Macaca fascicularis: one gene and its partners. The protein of the gene in region 1 interacts with the protein of each later gene in a pairwise test. Links are inferred from orthologs where the notes say so. Each region holds a gene or a part of one and is shown on either strand. Other genes may lie near its edges.

Evidence for each region. The genes of interacting proteins can lie anywhere in the genome.
Region 2: the proteins of STX4 (region 1) and STX6 interact in binary tests that used the Homo sapiens proteins (3 or more experiments, as listed by UniProt). The two-hybrid records come from large-scale screens. The link is inferred for Macaca fascicularis from reciprocal best matches to the Homo sapiens genes STX4 and STX6.
Region 3: the proteins of STX4 (region 1) and SEC22A interact in binary tests that used the Homo sapiens proteins (3 or more experiments, as listed by UniProt). The two-hybrid records come from large-scale screens. The link is inferred for Macaca fascicularis from reciprocal best matches to the Homo sapiens genes STX4 and SEC22A.
Region 4: the proteins of STX4 (region 1) and VAMP4 interact in binary tests that used the Homo sapiens proteins (3 or more experiments, as listed by UniProt). The two-hybrid records come from large-scale screens. The link is inferred for Macaca fascicularis from reciprocal best matches to the Homo sapiens genes STX4 and VAMP4.

What each region holds. Positions count from the first base shown.
Region 1 is NC_088394.1:29,218,300-29,222,316, forward strand, and holds part of STX4 (syntaxin-4), read left to right. Parts: intron 1-1,647; coding exon 1,648-1,756; intron 1,757-1,835; coding exon 1,836-1,912; intron 1,913-2,231; coding exon 2,232-2,369; intron 2,370-3,265; coding exon 3,266-3,376; intron 3,377-3,447; coding exon 3,448-3,528; 3' UTR 3,529-3,543; intron 3,544-3,636; exon of another isoform or gene 3,637-3,892; intron 3,893-4,017. UniProt on the Homo sapiens protein: Plasma membrane t-SNARE that mediates docking of transport vesicles. Necessary for the translocation of SLC2A4 from intracellular vesicles to the plasma membrane.
Region 2 is NC_088375.1:38,509,881-38,514,683, reverse strand, and holds the start of STX6 (syntaxin-6), read left to right. Parts: upstream 1-1,783; 5' UTR 1,784-2,038; coding exon 2,039-2,073; intron 2,074-4,803. UniProt on the Homo sapiens protein: SNARE promoting movement of transport vesicles to target membranes. Targets endosomes to the trans-Golgi network, and may therefore function in retrograde trafficking.
Region 3 is NC_088376.1:160,045,956-160,050,424, reverse strand, and holds the start of SEC22A (vesicle-trafficking protein SEC22a), read left to right. Parts: upstream 1-1,449; 5' UTR 1,450-1,478; exon of another isoform or gene 1,479-1,641; intron 1,642-4,222; 5' UTR 4,223-4,291; exon of another isoform or gene 4,292-4,320; intron 4,321-4,469. UniProt on the Homo sapiens protein: May be involved in vesicle transport between the ER and the Golgi complex.
Region 4 is NC_088375.1:29,354,311-29,358,932, forward strand, and holds the start of VAMP4 (vesicle-associated membrane protein 4), read right to left. Parts: upstream 3,021-4,622; 5' UTR 2,851-3,020; exon of another isoform or gene 2,567-2,850; intron 1-2,566. UniProt on the Homo sapiens protein: Involved in the pathway that functions to remove an inhibitor (probably synaptotagmin-4) of calcium-triggered exocytosis during the maturation of secretory granules.

The sequences.
Region 1 (4,017 bases):
AGCTGGAACCAGGAGAGCAGATGTATCTCTGGAAAAGGAACTCCAAGGAATGAGCATATTTAAGGTCTCAGGAGAAGGGGCAAGGCAGAGCAGATGCCCCAGAGCCAGTGTTTCTGGGGAAGCCTGTGGTGGTGATTGGCATGAGTGGTCGAGGGCCCATGTGGGCCTGTTGCACCTGTTTCGCCCAGGCAGCATGTTCATCTCTAGGCATAGGAACTGTGGTGTAGGCAGCAAGGTTGGCATTCAGCAAGCATTCAGCAGTTACATATTGGGTGCCTACTGTGTGCCAGACCTTTTTGGAACTGTTTAGGGTACAGCAGTGAATCAATGATCCCTATCCTCATGGAACTTCCCTTCTGGTGTAGACAATCACCGTAATAAATAAGTGAATTATTTAGAACATAATAAGCATTAAGGAAAAAAGAGCAGGGGAAGAGGGACTGAGCATGCTGGAGGAGGGTAGCGTTGCAGTTGAAAGCAAGTGGAGGAAGCTTCATTCAGAAGGTGACATCTGAACAAAAGACTTAAAGGTGTTTGCGGGGAATGGGCATTCTAGGTAGAATGAGAAGTGAATGCAAAGGTTTAAGCTGAGAGTGTGCTTTGTCTAGGGAGGGCTGTAAGGAGACCAATGTGGATGGGCAGAGGGAGGGAACAGTAAGAGGAAGCAAGATCAGAGAGGGCTGGCCGTGCACCTTGGCTCACACCTGTGATCCCAGCACTTTGGAGGCTGAGGTGGGAGGATTGGTTGAGCCCAGGCGTTTGAGACCAGCCTGGGCAACATTGCGAGACCCCATCTCTCTCTGTTTTTTTTTTTGAGACAAGGTCTCACTCTGTCACCCAGGCTGGAGTGCAGTGGTGCCATCTCTGCTCACTGCAGCCTCCGCCTCCTGAGTTCAAGCCATTCTCCTGCTTCAGCCTCCCAAGTAGCTGGGACTACAGGCACCCACCACTGCACCCAGTTAATTTTTGTATTTTTAGTAGAGATGGGGTTTCACCATGTTGGCCAGGCTGGTCTTGAACTCCGACCTCAGGTGATCTGCCTACCTCAGCCTCCCAAAGTGCTGAGATTACAAGCATGAGCCACCGTGCGGGTCAACCCTGTCTCTATTAAAAATAAAAATAGGCCAGGTGCAGTGGCTCACACTTGTAATCCCAGCACTTTGGGAGGCTGAGGTGGGTGGATCACCTGAGGTCAAGAGATTGAGACCATCCTGGCCAACATGGTGAAACCCCATCTCTACTAAAAATACAAAAATTAACCATGCATGGTGATGTTCATCTGTAGTCCCAGCTACTTGGGAGGCTGAGGCAAGAGAATCGCTTGAACCCAGGAGGCCAAGGTTGTGGTGAACCAAGATTGCGCCACTGCACTCCAGCCTGGGCAATAAGAACGAAACTCTGTCTCAAAAAATAAATAATAAATAAATAAAAATAAAAAAGATCATGGAGGGCCACATAGACTTGCTAAGGGCTTTGGCTTTTTGTCTAAGAGAAATGGGGGAGCCTGTCAAGGTCATCACAAAGTGGTTAAGGTGGCAGACCCCGCGTAAGAGCTCATGCTATTTGCTCACTTTACTATGGGATTGCCGAGGCCCAGACCGGGCAAGGATCCTCCCAGGGCACCCAGCCTATATTCTTCATCTTTAGCATGGGGTCCTGTCCCAGCAATTCGTGGAGCTCATCAACAAGTGCAATTCAATGCAGTCCGAATACCGGGAGAAGAACGTGGAGCGGATCCGGAGGCAGCTGAAGATCAGTGAGTTGTGTGTGCCCAGCCTGGCCTGCAGGGGCAGGTAATCCCAACCCAGCCCTGAGCCTGGCCTTTTCCTTCACAGCCAATGCTGGGATGGTGTCTGACGAGGAGCTGGAGCAGATGCTGGATAGTGGGCAGAGCGAGGTGTTCGTGTCCAATGTGAGTGGCCACAGCCAGCCCCTCTCTGCTGTGCCTCCCATCTCCTCTGATTCCTATCCCGTTCTTGACCTCCTGGGCTCAGGTGATCCTCCTGTCTCAGCCTCCCGAGTAGCTGGGACTATAGGTGTGAGCCACTGGACTCCGCTTGCTATGTCCCTTTCTGATTGAGGGGACCCTGAGGCCCCTAAGGGAATTAATTAGCTAACCTGGAGTCACCCATCAGATTCCAGGCTGAGGGCTCCCCAGAAGTTCAACAGGAGCTTCTGACCTGCTGTCGGTCTCCCTGTGAACAGTTGCCCCACTCCTGTCCACCCCCTAGATCCTGAAGGACACACAGGTGACTCGACAGGCCTTAAATGAGATCTCGGCCCGGCACAGTGAGATCCAGCAGCTTGAACGCAGTATTCGTGAGCTGCACGATATCTTCACTTTTCTGGCTTCTGAAGTGGAGATGCAGGTGAGTGCCCCGCGCAGCCCCAGACGTGATACCAGGCTCAGTCCAAACTGCCAGCCTCCTGCCACCCTTAGATTCTCTCCCTGAGGCTTTTGTGTCTTCCAGGTTTGGCCATCCCCCCAAATTGGTGCTTATTCTTATCTTTAGCTGTACCCCGAGAATGGCGCCTGCCTCTGCTGCTACCCAGATACCCACTCCCTTCTGCATAGCACCCTGCCCTGTCTCCAAAACTTGAGCCTGCCCAGGTCTGGCCCCAGCCCTGGCTCCCCCTCCACTAACAGCATCCACCCTGATACCTCTCAGAGGTTCAGTCAGAGTTGCCTTAGAGGGGCTGCCTCCTAACATCTGTACAAGGCTGGGGTGGGGGCGGTGTCCCCCTGGCCCTGGTTGCGTGAGTTGAGTTGAGCTTCCAGCCCTGTCCTGGAGGAGCTGGCCTCAGTCATGCTACAACCAGTGCCCTTTTGCAGCTGAGACTTACAGGAAAGAGATCTCATTCAGTAGGAGCACTGAGACCTGAGGCTGGTGGTGCCAGGAGGAGGCAGGGATAGGGAGGGCTTTGCAGCAGCTGTAGATAGGCCTGGAAGAATGGGTAAATTCAGACAGATTTGTGAAGGCACAGTTCACCATCTGTGAAAGGTATGAGCCATTTGAGGTCCTTAGCTCCAAGCTACCACTGCAGATAGAGGTCATATGGGATAAGCGAGCAGGGGACAAGGGACTACATGATAGAAGGGACCTGGAAGCCATCTCCAAGGAGCCTGAACTTTTGTCAGATCGAGTCTTGCCCTTGTCTTTGTTAGTGCAATCTTTTTTTTCCTGCCAGGAATGCTCTTCAGTCATCTGGGGTGGGGTGGGCAAAGGCATCCTTACCTCCCTGAATCACCCCATCCTCTGAGCAGGGGGAGATGATCAATCGGATTGAGAAGAACATCCTGAGCTCAGCGGACTACGTGGAACGCGGGCAGGAGCACGTCAAGACAGCCCTGGAGAACCAGAAGAAGGCGAGGAAGGTGAGCCTCCCAGGCCCAGCCTCTGCCCCAGGCACCCTCTGTGACTTCCCTGACCCCCTCCTCTCCCACAGAAGAAAGTCTTGATTGCCATCTGTGTGTCCATCACCGTCGTCCTCCTAGCAGTCATCATTGGCGTCACAGTGGTTGGATAATGTCACACATTGTTGGTGAGATGTTGTGGGCTGCCCTCTGGCCTGCCCCAGCCCTGGCCCCAGCCCTCCCTTCTCCCTCAGACCCTGTTCTCCCTCCTTTCCTTACAGGCACTAGGAGCACCAGGGACCCAGGGCCTGGCCTTCTCTCCCAGCAGCCTGGGGGACAGGGCAGAGCCTCCAGCTGGACCCCTTCCTCACACTGGCCCCTATGCAGAAGGGCAGACAGTTCTTCTGGGGTTGGCAGCTGCTCATTCATGGTGGCCTCCTCCTTCAGGCCTCAGTGCCTGGGGGAGGCCTGCACTGTCCTGATTGGTCGGGACACACAGTTTTGTAAAAAATTAAAAAACAAAAAAGAGCATAGAAAGCCCTGTGCACGTGTGTTCCTGGAAGGGCTGGCCCAAGGCTTCCGGGCATCCAACCTCCCTACCTCCTGGACGTCCCCAGGGCCAGGGCCAGGTCCAGCCCTGGCTGCTCAGGTCAAACTGCCAT
Region 2 (4,803 bases), on another chromosome or scaffold:
TTTCACCTCCCCAACTAAGTAAACAGTTTTCTCCCACTAAACATTAGCATCACTAGTACTGGACGCTGCTTCCTTTCCCTGCATCTGTCTTCCATTGTTCGCTCCTCCAGGGATTTTGGCTTTCACCTCTCTTCTCTCCCCTCTCAAAACCCATTCAGCCCCTCATCATGTCTAGGTGTTCAGTCTTGTTTTCCTTTTGAAACATCTGTCAGATTCACTCCTTCCTCTCTGTTCTCAATCGCTGTCATCCTGGTCTGGCCCTCATCCCTTCACGCCACATGACCTTAGCAGCGTCCTTACTGGTTTTCCTGACTTCAGTAACTTAATCCTTTGGGATCTTGAGGTTTACACGCATTTTTATTTAACTATCACAACAACCCATGAACTAGCTATTATTATTTATGTTTTATAGATGAGGAGCTGAACGATAGAGCCAAGGTTTAAACGGGGTTTGTGTTGCTCCAAGGACTGTGCCATCTCCAGACTGGTGACCTTGGGCAAGTCACTTACCCTCCCAGAGTCTCAGATTTCTCATTTATAAAATGGGCATGATGGCAGTAATTATCGCACTGTAAGAGCAACCGAGATAACACTTAACACCCTGCCTGACACACACACACTAAGTGCTCAATGATTTTCAGCAATCAAAGTCCACAATCCTCATCCACAAACTCCACAGCATATCTAGCATATGAGTTGGCTAAGGTTCTGGGCAAAATGTTTTCTAGAATAGTCCTTGAACCACAGTGAGAGGAAGTTGTCATACCTGGCCCCTTCTTTATTCCTTGTAGGTGCGCTCTCCTGGGAGGCACCATATGCTGTATGAAAAATTACTTTACATGGTTATTTGCAGAATGTACAGCAACATAAAGTACACCCCATCTGGTGGAAAGTGCACAGAATCTGCAGTTCTGCTCTGTCCAGGCTGTGTGACTACAGGAAGTCGTGAAGCCTCTCTGAACTTATTTTCTCATCTACAAAATGGGAGAAATGGATGGCGTAGGGGCTCACGTCCGTAATCCCACCACTTTGGGAGGCAGAGGCAGGAGGGTCTTGTGAGCTCAGGTGTTCGAGGCCAGCCTAGGCAATATACTGAGAGCTCTATCTCTACAAAAAATTTAAAAATCAGCTGGGCGTGGTGGCTCTCACCTGTAGTCCCAGCTACTCGGGAGGCTGAGGCGAGAGGACCGCTTGAGCCCAGGAGGTCGAGGGTGCAGTGAGCTGTGATTGTGCCACTGCACTCCAGCCTGGGTGACAGAGAGAGTCCCTGCCCCCCAAAAAGGGGAAGGAGGGGAATAATACCTTCCCCCAAAGAATACTGAGATGATGCATACACAACTTTTTAGCACACTCTCCAACACAAAGTAAGACCCTACTTGAAGGAGCTGTGTAGCATCATAATCAGATACTATGCTTCATTTTAAGTCGAGGACCAGATAGATTTATAAATTACATACTGTCAAAATCAAGTATTAAAAGTAGAGGAAAGGTAAGAGGATTTTGCAAAACAGGTACAACTACAGTTTATCCTGAAAAGCCGACTGCCTACCTCTGAGGGAACAAGCCGCTCTTCACCTTCAAGCCTGAGGAGAGGGCGGTAGAAAGCCGCCCACCTCCTCCGCCCCGAGGGCTCCGCCTCCAGGGCGGAGGGACGCAGGCCCAGGCCCCGCCCACTGGGGGAGGGGCAGGCCCTGATCACGTGAGTGGGGTACGGAAGTCGTGCTTCAGGCGGCTTTCGTGATTGGCCGCAGCCGAGGGTCCTGGGGGTGGGGTCAGGCTCTCCGACTCGCCGGGAGGAGCCGGGACTGGAGGCTGCAGAGGGGGCCGGCTCTGGAGTCCGGGATTCGGCCAGTGGTGCTGAGCGAGTGCTGGACCAGCGGTGGTCCCGTGCACCTGGCCTGCGCGCGTGCCCGCTGCTTGGCGTCCCCCAGTCTAAGGCGCGGGCGGCTGCGGGAACAGGCCGGGTGGGCGGAAGGAGGCCGGGAGGCACGGGCGCTCTGTGCGCGGTGGAGGTGGAGGCGGCCGGGGCCGGGACGCCATGTCCATGGAGGACCCCTTCTTTGTGGTGAAAGGGTGAGTGTCGGCCGAGGGCTCCACTGGAGGAAGAGGTGGCGGTGCTGCCTGCCCGCACCTCCTCGGTCTTCTCGCAGTAGGGGGAGGGGAGGCAAGTTGGAGCTGGGGAGGGGTCACAGTGGAGACGGCTTAGTCTTGAGGGCCATGACCAAGCGTCCAGAGACGTCTCCTGCATCCCTACCTGGACGGTGAAGCCACTGTCCCCAGCCAAGCCCCTGGTGGTGGTGGGGCCTTTTTGGCCTGTGCGCTGCGGTACAACTTATTTGGGGGTCGAGGGGCTCAGCAGCTCTGCAGGTGAGAAGGAGACACGCAGGTCCTAGCTCACACTGGCCGTCTATTCGAGCATGGGACCTTGCTTCGAAGGAGCGAAAACAGCATCTGGGCAGGAAAAGGGAAATGGCCCTCCTGAGCTTTGTAGTTCGTGTTGACGGGGGTGAACTCCATTGTCCATTGAGTTTGGAGCGCTCGTCCGCAGGACTGGCGAGACCACAACAAGCCCAGAGGCGTCTGAGCACGTTTGCTGGGAGGGAGGCGGGGGCGGGGGCTGATCTGGGAGGCTGGGGAGCAGGGCACAGGAAGACAATTCAATGGGGGGAGTTTTTACTGAGTAATGTGAGGAGAGGAAAGCAGTCGTTCATACTCAGTGATGATTTGGAAGGAAAACAAAATGAAACAAGCCAAACCAAACTTTCCTCAGCTTTCTATTAGCAACCGGAATTTTCTCACAGTGCTAAAGGAAATGAGTGTTGCTTGTTAACTCCTTGATATCATCCAGGCTGTTTGACAGGTTTCTCCTATTTCTTCTGCCTTTCAGAATAGAACTGCCTTCTGTTCCCTTGTAAGCTGTCCTAACTCCATCTTGCTCGATTGTTTCTTTGGAGATAGAAACTTCAACTGCACTTTGTAATATCCACTTTGTAGCCATTAAACAAATGCAAGAAGATTAATTCTGATGTAACTTTTAGTTTCTTATTAGAAACGTGTCAGTTTTCTGTTTTAAATGTCAAACATGAAAAATCTGAAAACTGCAAAGTTCCCAAATCAGTACTGATCACAGAATGTCCCTTGCTTTTAACGAGTTGCTGCTAGCTTCCTATTTTTGTAGTGGTACAAGCTGGCTGTTGTATACTCAAGTATTGTAGAAAATTTAAATGGCATTTTAGGTGAAAGATTTTATCGATGATGCAGTAAAATACACTTATAATATTTCTTAACATTTCCCTGGAAAGGTCTTTTTCTTCACCTTACTCTAATTTAGATGGGAAAATGCTGAGTTGTAGATTTACTGGTAATATGTGACTTCCTACCTGGAAAATGTGATATTTATTAGAAGAATTGATTAGGGGTTAATTTTAAAAATGTGTTTTTTCCTTGATTGAAAGTTCTTAATGCTTAGGTTGGCAAAGGTTATCTCTGGCAGTGGAGATCAGAGATGATCAGAAATTTTTTGTTTGACTTTTTATGGAATTTGTCAAAAGCCTAAATTCTTCTGCCGTCGTGGCATTTTTTTTTTCTTGACGGTATCCAATACAGTCGTCTAATGCTTGTTCACTGATTAAATATCACTACTTTATTGGAACATTGGTTCGGAGTTTTGATTGACTTTTACATCATTTTAGCTCCTGTCTTTAAGGTTCTTGAAGGAAAAGAGATTCTCAGTACCTTCTACTGTGGAAAGGTAAAGTCACCCATGAAGGTGTATCCAGATTTTTTGGGAGTCATGCACCTGTGTTTATTAAAAGTATCAAGAATGCATTACACAGCATGGAAAAATTAAAGATGCCTAAATTATGGCCTAGGAGCTTCTAGTCTAATCTGAGAAACAAATTACCCCAAAATTAAGTAGAAATGACAGGTGGCAAATGAATGAGTGTTGAAGTGAATGCTGCAGATGATGAGTGCCCCAGGAGTTCAGAGAAAGGCATCTCCTTGGGAATTGTTAGGATTAGGAAAGCTTTTGGAGGCAATAAGTATATCTTGAATTACGTTTTGAAGATGGGCAGAATTTAGATAATCAAGCCTGTCTCTTTTATCTGGATGCTTATCAAAGAATCTTTTAATTGTTCTTCCTGCTTCTGGTCTCATTTCCTCTTTCAGCTGTCCTGGGATCTATTGGATCAGTGCTGTCCAATAGAAGTATAATGCCAGCCACGTACGTCATTTTACATTTTCTAGTAGCCACAGTAAAATAAAAAGGAACAGGTGAAATTAATTCTAATGTAATCTCTAGTACATTCAAAATATTCGACGTGTGATTAATACAAAGATTGATGAGATATTTTACTTTTGCACTAAGTCTTCTAAATCTAATACATATTTTACACTTACTGCACATTTAAATTTGGACATTAAATTTTCATCAGAAATAATTTATCTGTATTTAAAATTCATTAAATACTCTTTTTTTTCTTTTTTTTTTTTTTTTTTTGAGACAAGAGTCTCGTTCTGTTGCTCAGACTGGAGTGCAGTGGTGCAATCTCGGCTCACTGCAACCTCTGCCTCCCAGGTTCAAGCGATTCTTGCGCCTCAGCCTCCTGAGTAGCTGGGACTACAGGTGGGTGCCACCTCACCTGGCTAATTTTTGTATTTCCCTGCTAATTTTTGTATTTCCTGGGTAATTTTTTTTTTTTTTTTTTTTTTTTAGGACTACAGGTGGCCGCCACCATGCCTGGCTAATTTTTTGTATTTTTTAGTAGAGATGGGGTTTCACCATGTTAGCCAGGATGGTCT
Region 3 (4,469 bases), on another chromosome or scaffold:
TATATATCTAGGACCAAATCTATGTTAGTTCAGGCCTTTCTTCTGAACTTTAGACCTACATATCCAAATCTACTTGACATCTCTATTTATAGACATTTCAAATTTAACATATTCCAAGCCATTTGCTCCTCCTCCTGTGTTCTGTGAATCAGTAAATGGCTTCTTAATCCATCTAGTTACTTAAGGAGTCATCCTTAATATTCCTCTTTCTTGACCCTTCCCGGCAAACCAATCTGTTATTAAGTCCCTTGGATACCATCTCTAATTTATACATATCTTGAAATTATCTACCTCTTTCTGTCTCTAACTCCCATTATACTAGTTCAAGCCATCATTTCTGGCTTTGCCTGATGCAACTGCCTCCAAATGGCCTTCCAGCAGCCTTTCTTGCCCTCTTCCGAACTATTCTCCACAAACAGCCTGAGTGATTCTTAAATATGCAAATAGGATCCTACTTAATAGTCTTTATTAGTTGCCCATTGACCTTGGGCTGAGATGAGACAAGGGCCAGACCATGCTGGCTCTTATTGGCCACATTACAGATTTCAGGCTGTATTTTGGAAGTTTCTCCTTGCTCCCTACACTCCATCCACACTGACTTCCTTTTACTTCCTAGAGCACACGAAGTTCTTTCATGCCCCAACAACCTCACACATAATAGTTCCTTGACGGGGAACATTCTCTAAGGTTCTTTAATATGCCTGCAGCTTAAAAGGCACTTATTCAGAAGTCTCTTTCCTGACAGTCCAAAATTAATTCATCATTGCACCCACTAATTTTCCCTCCCAGTACTGATCACAATTTATAATTCTGTAACTATTTATGCTTTCATATCTTTTGCTCCAATTACGTCTTAAATTCCATCAAGTGTTATGTCCACTCCTGTAACCCCGCGTTTAACACGGTGCTTGGCACATGGTAAACAGCCAGTAAATGCCTGTTTAATAACGCATGAACGATGCGAAAGCTGGAAGGGGTCAAGGGGTCGGCATCTGGCACTTCTCTGCCATAGTTTGTTTCCTTCTTGTGTGTGGGTATAGACGGGGCCAGGTCCTCTCCTTGCTCACCCACAGGGGGCTTTTCTCCCTGTCCCCTTTATAAGTGTCTGCTGTAGGGGCCGCGTGTGAAAGACAAAATGCCTGCAGATACAGGGCGGCGAGCGGAGGGGATTGGCCCTATTTCTAAAGTCAACGTAGTTCTGTCATCAGAGGACTGTACTTTTCTGGCGCAGGTGCGAGAGACGCTGCCAATCTCTCCTGGAGCCGGTGGGACTAAGGCGGGTCCTGGGATCGGGCGGGTTGTTGTGTCCTTCCTGCAGAATCCGATTGGCCTGGGCGAGCCGAGGGAACGGGGGCGTGGTTTGATTCCGCGGGCGCGAGCCACGTTGGACGCGGCGCAGCCCCGCCGAAAGGCCCCTCCCAGGCCCCACAATGCACTGCGGGGTGCGTCACTCGGAGCGGCGGGTCCCGTCTCGACAGGTACTACCCGGCCCCTCCCAGTCCTCTTCTTCCCTTCTTAGGGGTCGTTCGAACCCCTGCCGGCCTCTCCCCTCCCTCTCCCTGCCTCCCGCGACAGCCTCGGTCTTCGCCCTCGGGACTGAAGACCTACCCGACGGGCAGGAGCCAAGTCCGTGCCTTTGGGGTGGGAGCCGGGGTCGCGGAGCTCTGGAGGGACGGGCAAGTAGGGACCCCGTCCCCTTCGACTTGAGGTTTCTCTGGGGCCACGCGGGCGGCCGTTGCGCCTCGTCTGAGCCGCCTGGGGTATTGGGCAGCCAGGGAAGGAGTGTCTAAAGGGGAGGGACAGTCGCACTTGGCTGTCAGTAGGTTGGTAGGGATTCCCTGGCGCCCAGTTGTCAGAAACACGGTGATCTACCTGTGTAGGTGGCCCGCGGGAGCTTGAGGTGGTATTTCCTATTTCTGTTAGGCAGAATGGGACTTGAACCAGTGTCTTACTTTACGTCTTGCGGGGATGGAGTGAGCACTGAACCCAGATATTTGCCCGTGTTGGCTCACGGAAACCTCTTGAGACCCTGCCTCAAGAGTCACTTTGGGAACGATGTGGCAGAAGGGAGACCTGAGCAATTGGCTCAACAAGTGGAGGAGGCTTCCGAAAGAAAAGGACAAGCCCCAGCTGTCCTGAATCTCTCTGCCAGTGAAGACAGCTTAAGATAATTTTTCTCCTGCTGCTTAGTTTCCTGGGTCATCCACCTGGGGCAGGGGGCTACCTTGAGAACCAGTCCCTCCTGGGTCTATTCAGCCAAGGCAAAGCCTAGCCCAGAGCAAAAATGTCAGCCACCAGACTGGAGATGTTGGGAACTTCAGTCAGGGGAACAGCCACTTTTCAAACTCTGAATCACTTTTCATGTTATTGATATTTGCTTACATGCTAAGATCGGAAGGAATCAGGCAGTGCCTTAAACGGTACCTACAATTTCTGGCATATTAAGTTTCCTTCAGTATTTGATTCTGACACCTGTGACCGTATCCTAAAGTAATGGGACATTCGGGTATTTCCTATGTTGAAAACCATCACATCTGTTTAGTGCCTTTTTGTGTGTGTGTGCGTGCAACTGGTTAAAATCGAAGTATATCTTATGTTGGTCTATGAAAGAGGCCCAGGTATCACAGGGGTGCCTGTGACCTTCCTTGAGTGTCTCACAGAGTTGTTAGAGTTGGGTCTGAGTTTAAATCCCTACTTTGTCACGTACTAGTTTAGGGATTAAAAAAATTCCTTAAGCTTTCTGGGCTTGAATTTCCTCAAAGGTAAAATGGAACTAATAATACCTACTTCACAGGTTTTTGGAAGGCTTAAATGAGGTAATGTGTATAAAGTGCGTGGTCCATGGAGAGTAATCAATAAATAATATAGCAAATATTTAATATAGTGCTTTTAGTATGTTACAAGGCAGTGTTTCAGGCGCTTTACATGATCCTATGAGATAGATACTATTGTCATCTTTAAAATAAGCCTATGAGATAGATACTGTTAGTAGCCATAATGTATAGATGTAGAAAGGCAAAGCTTGCCCAAATTTACATGTCTGCTACATGGTGGAGCCAGGATTAGAACCCAGGCAGCAAGTAAATAGGAGTTTCTATATCCCTGGTTTCTTATCTCTTGTTGGTTTTGGTAGACTGATGAAGCATAGTAGTGTGTAGATACTAGAAACTTAGACTGAAGTACCAGTTCTGCTATATACTAGCAGTGTGACATTGAGAAAGTAAGCCTCAGTTTCCTCATCTGTAAATTGGCAGTTCTACCTACCCAACTGTGAACTATGTGGCACTATACGAGTGTTGGAATTGACACATTTGAGCATGTACTGGGGGCCCTGTCCTAGATGTGGGTAAAATCTGTTGTGAAGTCTGAGGTCTTATACATACTGTGCAGTGTAAGCACCCATAATAGGAATGTCACACACTGCTAGTGAGGTAGAGGGCATAGGCAAAATGACAGAAATTCCATCCTCTTTATCACCCAATCTATCCCCCACCCTCCCTGTGTATCACAAGTAGTATAGCTTTCTGTCCAAATTAACTACCACCCTTTCCCATTCCCACAGATCTCAGCTAGCAATTGTAATAAAATAATATGTACCATATTGGTACTGTCACATATGCAAGATAATTTGATAAGCAAATGAATATTAAAGTTCTCCCAAAATTTTCACACACATACATATTTGAATGAAACAAGTTCTTTTAATTTAAATTAGGAGAAAAACTTAATATCTCAAAACTGATTTCACAGATATTATTACTAAAAAATAAAGGACAAGAAAAGTAAGTCAATTCAAAGACCAATATTAGGTAAATAGTACAGATGGATGAAGATAATTCTGAAAGTGGTACTTGGATGACTGAAGACTGGGAAATTACGAACTAAAACAAATATGAGTGCTTTTGCCCCCAGTATAAAATGTTTTTATCTTAAAAGTGGCATTTGTGAAAGCATTTGGTTAGAACGTATATACAAAATCCACTTCTATGTTGGGCTTTATTTATTACCTTTTGAGAGATACCTTCCTGAGACATTGAGCCCATAGTCATTACCCACACAAGGTTCTGAAGAAGAGGGGTGTCTTGTTATCTTGGGTCTGAGAACTTGCTAACCATTCATTACCATAGTAGTTTGGCATTGTGGGAATTTATTTTCCTCAGACTTTACGTAAAAGTTTACCCAGATTTACCTAGATTCTAACTTGTGCTTTTTCCTCCAACAGTTGCTGATGGGGAGAGGAAAAAATAGCCACTGTTCCGGTTCCCTATGAGTTAACTGCTGCTGTCCAAAGGCAGGTGTAATATTTTCTGTGTATTAAAGGTGAGGAGAAATGGCCCAGTGCCCTAAACATTTATCTATGACCCTGATAAGCTAAAAACTCCTAAATCTTCCCATGCAATTGTTGTAACCTCTTGCTTTCCACAGTTCCACTGATTCTTCCTTGGGATTTTCCCAACCACAACCCTCCT
Region 4 (4,622 bases), on another chromosome or scaffold:
CCCTGCAGTGATGTGTCTTGTGTATGCTAGTAAGATGCCTGGTAGCTTAGCCCCCACATAGATTCAAGATGGAGGCTGGTCACAGAAAAACCTAGGTATGATTATAAGACTGTGACTTTTCAGCCCCACCCCCTAGCTTCCTGGGAGGGGAGGAGGGCTCCAGGTTGAACTGATTTCCAATGGCCAATGATGTAATCAATCATGCCTACTAATGAAGACTCCATAGAACCCAAAAAGGACAGGGTTCAGAGAGCTTCCCGAAAGCTGAACAAGTAGAGGGTTCCTGGACGGTGGCACACCTGGAGAGGGCACAGAAGCTCTGTACCCCTTGCCCTATGCACCTCTTCCATCTGGCTGTTGATCTCTATCCTTTATAATAAACCAGTAAACAAAGTGTTTCTCTGAATTCTGTGAGCCACTCTAGCAAATAAATGGAACACAAGGAAGGGATTGTGGGAACTATGATTTATAGCCAGTCAGTTGGAAGCACAGGTAAAACAACCTGGAACTTGTGACTGGCACCTGAAGGGGGGAATCTTGTAGGCTTAAGCCCTCAACCTGCCCGATCTGATGCTATCTCTAGGTATACAGTATCAGAATTGAATGAGAGAACACCCAGCTGGAGAACCTGCTGCAGAACTGCCTGCTTGCTTGTGAGGAGAAGTCTTTTTGGGGTCACAGGAGTATTCTGTGTTGAGAGAGAATAGGAGAAACTCAATTTTTCTTCTATCAAAACAACTGGATTAAACAAAACTAGTTTTCTTTGCTACAGAATGACTCACATCCTGTTATATGCTAATATGCATTGTGACTTTCCAGGAAAATGCTTGTGTATGCAACATATTAAAAATTTTTTTTGAGAAAAAGTTGTTCTATGCAAATAATGAATTTTCAGTATTTTTGACTAGATGGTAGATGAATACTCAGCAATTCAGGATAGCTCAGAAATAATGTTATACTGTGTGCTAGGCACTGTGCTCAGTGATATGCATGCATTTTCTTTTACTCTTTATGACCCTTCTTTGAAGTAGGCACCAAGAAACTAGGAGAAAACTAAAGTTTAGTAACGATAACGTTAGTCACTACACTCATTGAAACAGCAGAGATACAGGCCTAAATTAATCAATGGCTGTGCATTATCAGTTTTAACTGTTTTTTTCAATTAGTTGCTCATCAGGTTTACAGAATTCTGTTCTAGAAAGACCCACTTCCTGGTAACAACCCAATAGTCCTGTTTCCTTCTCCACAAGAAGAAACACAGCCCTTTAAATTAGGTATAGTTAGATATCAGTTTGTTGGTTAATGATATACACTTAAAAAAGAATAATCCCAGAATCATGTTTCACGAACCAAATAAAAGTAATATTTTAAGTCAGCTGCTTGTCAAAACAAACGGACACAAACACTTTTCTTTGGTAAGAAATGCTTCCAAATCAGAAATTATTCACTTGTAACAAAAACCAAACTCTTGCTGCCTAACAGCTCTTGAGTTCTTGGTTCCACAATATTTCTGTCACATACATCTGGCCCTTTTATTCCTCATACTTTGATTTCAGAATACTTAATTCTTGCAGAAATGTAACAGAATGCATGGAAAAACAGATGACAAGGCAAATTACTGAAGAACTTGTGCTTTTAACTATATCTGTATTTAGATTTTAACCCCTGCAAAGAGGCTCCCTCAACATCTCAAAGCAAACAACAGGCTGACTTATATAATGCCTTTATGAGACATAGGGTAAAACTACAATCTTAAGGAGGAGCAAACCCCATATTCAGGTCTCTTAATCCCAGGAAACCATGTGCAACAAATAGAAAGCCCATCAGCAAAGCAGTAGGCAGATTAATTAGCTACGTTGATGAACTTTGACGTTATTTGCAACTGGTGATTATTAGTAACTGATGACATGTGTATCAAACAACTAGTAGAAATGAATCATGCTCAGAAAGTAGACAAGGATATCGTCCGCCTAAGATTCTCCTACAAAAAAGACATGTGAATTCAGGTGTTTGTGACTAGGTATACATGTAAATAAGAGAGCTATCATGTACTTCCACATTGAGGATAGACCACCACTATAAAATTCACTTAAAAAAGTCACATCACCGTATGCTTCTTATACATCGGCATATACTTAAATGTCTATGTATGCATTTTTGTAAGTAGTACGTTATCTAGTCAACAGCTTTGAATCTGGGCAGAGGCTCTCCTTTTCCCAGCCTCCATTCCCTTTCTGACTCGTCTTCCTTGTCTGTCATCAGCCGTCTTGCTTGATGCAGTTTCACAGAAATAAAGTGACTTGGATGGACACAAACCGGAGATGTCATTTGCAAAACCTGTCAAGTGTAACGATTCACCCCCACCTTCCGGTCATTATAAACACAGCAGGGTTGGCGCTCTTTCTCCTGAGCCCTTTAAATACACAATTCCAGGCAGCTCCGTTCACCCCCCACACCCAATCTGTCGCACCAGGCCACGTCCCTGGATATATCTGCTCCTAACACTGGCCCTTCCTGCCCCACGGTACCCCCTGGCATTCCTGACTGCATCCCACTCTTAACAAACCTTCCCCATCCATGGCACTGTTTTCTTCCCATCACCCAGAGTTCCCTTCCATTCCAAGTCTTCTCTTCCTCAACTGCTCCCCGTCCGCACACCCCTGTCCTCGTCTTCCTTCCTCACGACACCCCGGGCCCCAGCCTTTTCCCACTCCGGGGTCCCTTCCTAGATGCCGGAGGCCGGCCGACCAGCCCGACTAGGACGTCGGGGGGCGGCGAGGCAGGGCGTCTTCTTCGTTTCCTTCCTCCTCACACCAGCCCCTCCCGCTGGGAACAGGCCAGCGCCAGTACCTGAGGCTCCCGGGGAACTCCCGGCAGCTCTCCCGGGCTGGCGGTGCTGGGCGGGCGGTGCTGGGCGGGCGGGGGAAGGAGTGGGAAGCCGAGGTAAAAAGCTGGGAGGGGGAGACAGTGGATGCAGACCCGGCGTCGGCCGCAGCGCCGCAGAAGCGCCTCCGCTCATCGAGCCGATCGGCGCTCGGCGGCCTGGCGCCAGGCGGAGAGGGCGGGTCCAGGGCACGGAGATAGTCGAGGAAGTCGATTCCGCCGAACGCGCTTCGCCTAAAAGAGCCCGGACCCACACGCAGTTTAGGTGCAGCTTTCCAAGGTTATGCTGTGCTTTAGGGGAGGAACGACCACCGGTTCTCCAGGTTCCGGTCGCGATCCGGTGGACCTGCTTCGGGTTCGTCTGGGGCCTTTTCTGAAGAAAGGAGATCTGTTCGATCCCTTGTTTACAGAATTAGCTACACTTGGAAAGAGATGTTAGGGGTTCCTAGGCCAGGCTCCTCCCTTTAGATAGGTGGAATATCTGGTTCAGAGAGGAGACTGACTTAAAGTTACACAGCTAGTTTAGATAGATACGGAACGAGGGCTCGGTGTTCTTTTCCTGGTATCCCTTAGTTGTAACCTGAAAGCCTTCAGGTTTCAGGGAAATCGCCCTTGCCAGGCCATTCCGCCACTCTGCCCATTCCTCCCTCACTCCCTCCCCCTCCGCCCAATTTGGTATCATGTTTAGATCTCGAAGCCCGCTGTAGCTGGCTACCAAAAACAAGTCCTAATTTTGTTTTTCCGTTCTCTTATTTGTTTTATTATCCATTCCTCCCACGCCCCAGCTGGATTATTTTACTCATTGAATCATATTCACTACACATCTTTTAAAATGAATACAGTGTCTATGGGTCCTTTGTTGATAGAGTATTTTAACTGTCTGAAATGCTTTGCCAGGCACTTTCTAAAGATATAAAAATAAGAGGGGGTGTTCAAGAACAAGAGTAGACAAAACAGCAGGAGGAAAGATCTGAGGACACTAAAGGAAAGGAAAGAATAGACACCCTCTTACCAAAAAGTTGCTCTTCTTTTGATTTTTTTTTTAATGTAAAACTGTACTAACGAATTTGAAAAATGCCATGACTAAGGCAATGATGCTCAACTCTGATTCACTTGGAGTTGAATCACTTGGAAAGCTTTTAAAACTGCGTAGGTGCCCACGTGTTACCTAGATTCTGATTTAAATGGTCTGAGATTTAGAAACAGCCGTTGGGTTGTCAGTTGAAGGTTCTGAAAGCTTGATGCTAAACTCAGTTGCCTATGTTTATGCCAAGTTGCTGACTTGGACTGAAACGGCCCACTTAGAAACCTCTCATGGTTTATATCTCTGTCTAGGCGTGATAGTGGGACTACCCCCAGACTCCACAGGTAACCCAGACATCATTTTTCCTTTTACAGCTGATTTTTTCTTTTGAGACGAGTTATCACTTCTTCTCCCAGGCTGGAGTGCGGTGACACAATTATATCTCACAGCAGCTGTGAACTCCTGGTCTAAAGTGATCTTCCTGCCTCTGCCTCCCAAGTAGTTGGAATTACAGGCACAAGCAGCTGTGCCCAGCACTTACAGTTGATTTTATGTCTATATATTTGCATGTTATAGGATATTTTCTGGCTTTGGTGCCTTAGCCAGTTGGAGCTTTAGCTAGTTATAGCCTCGTCTTTTGTGCATAGACAACTTAAGGTGTGGTCAGTGAGCTCCAACAGCACGTCATTGCATAGCTTTTATGGATAATCCTTTC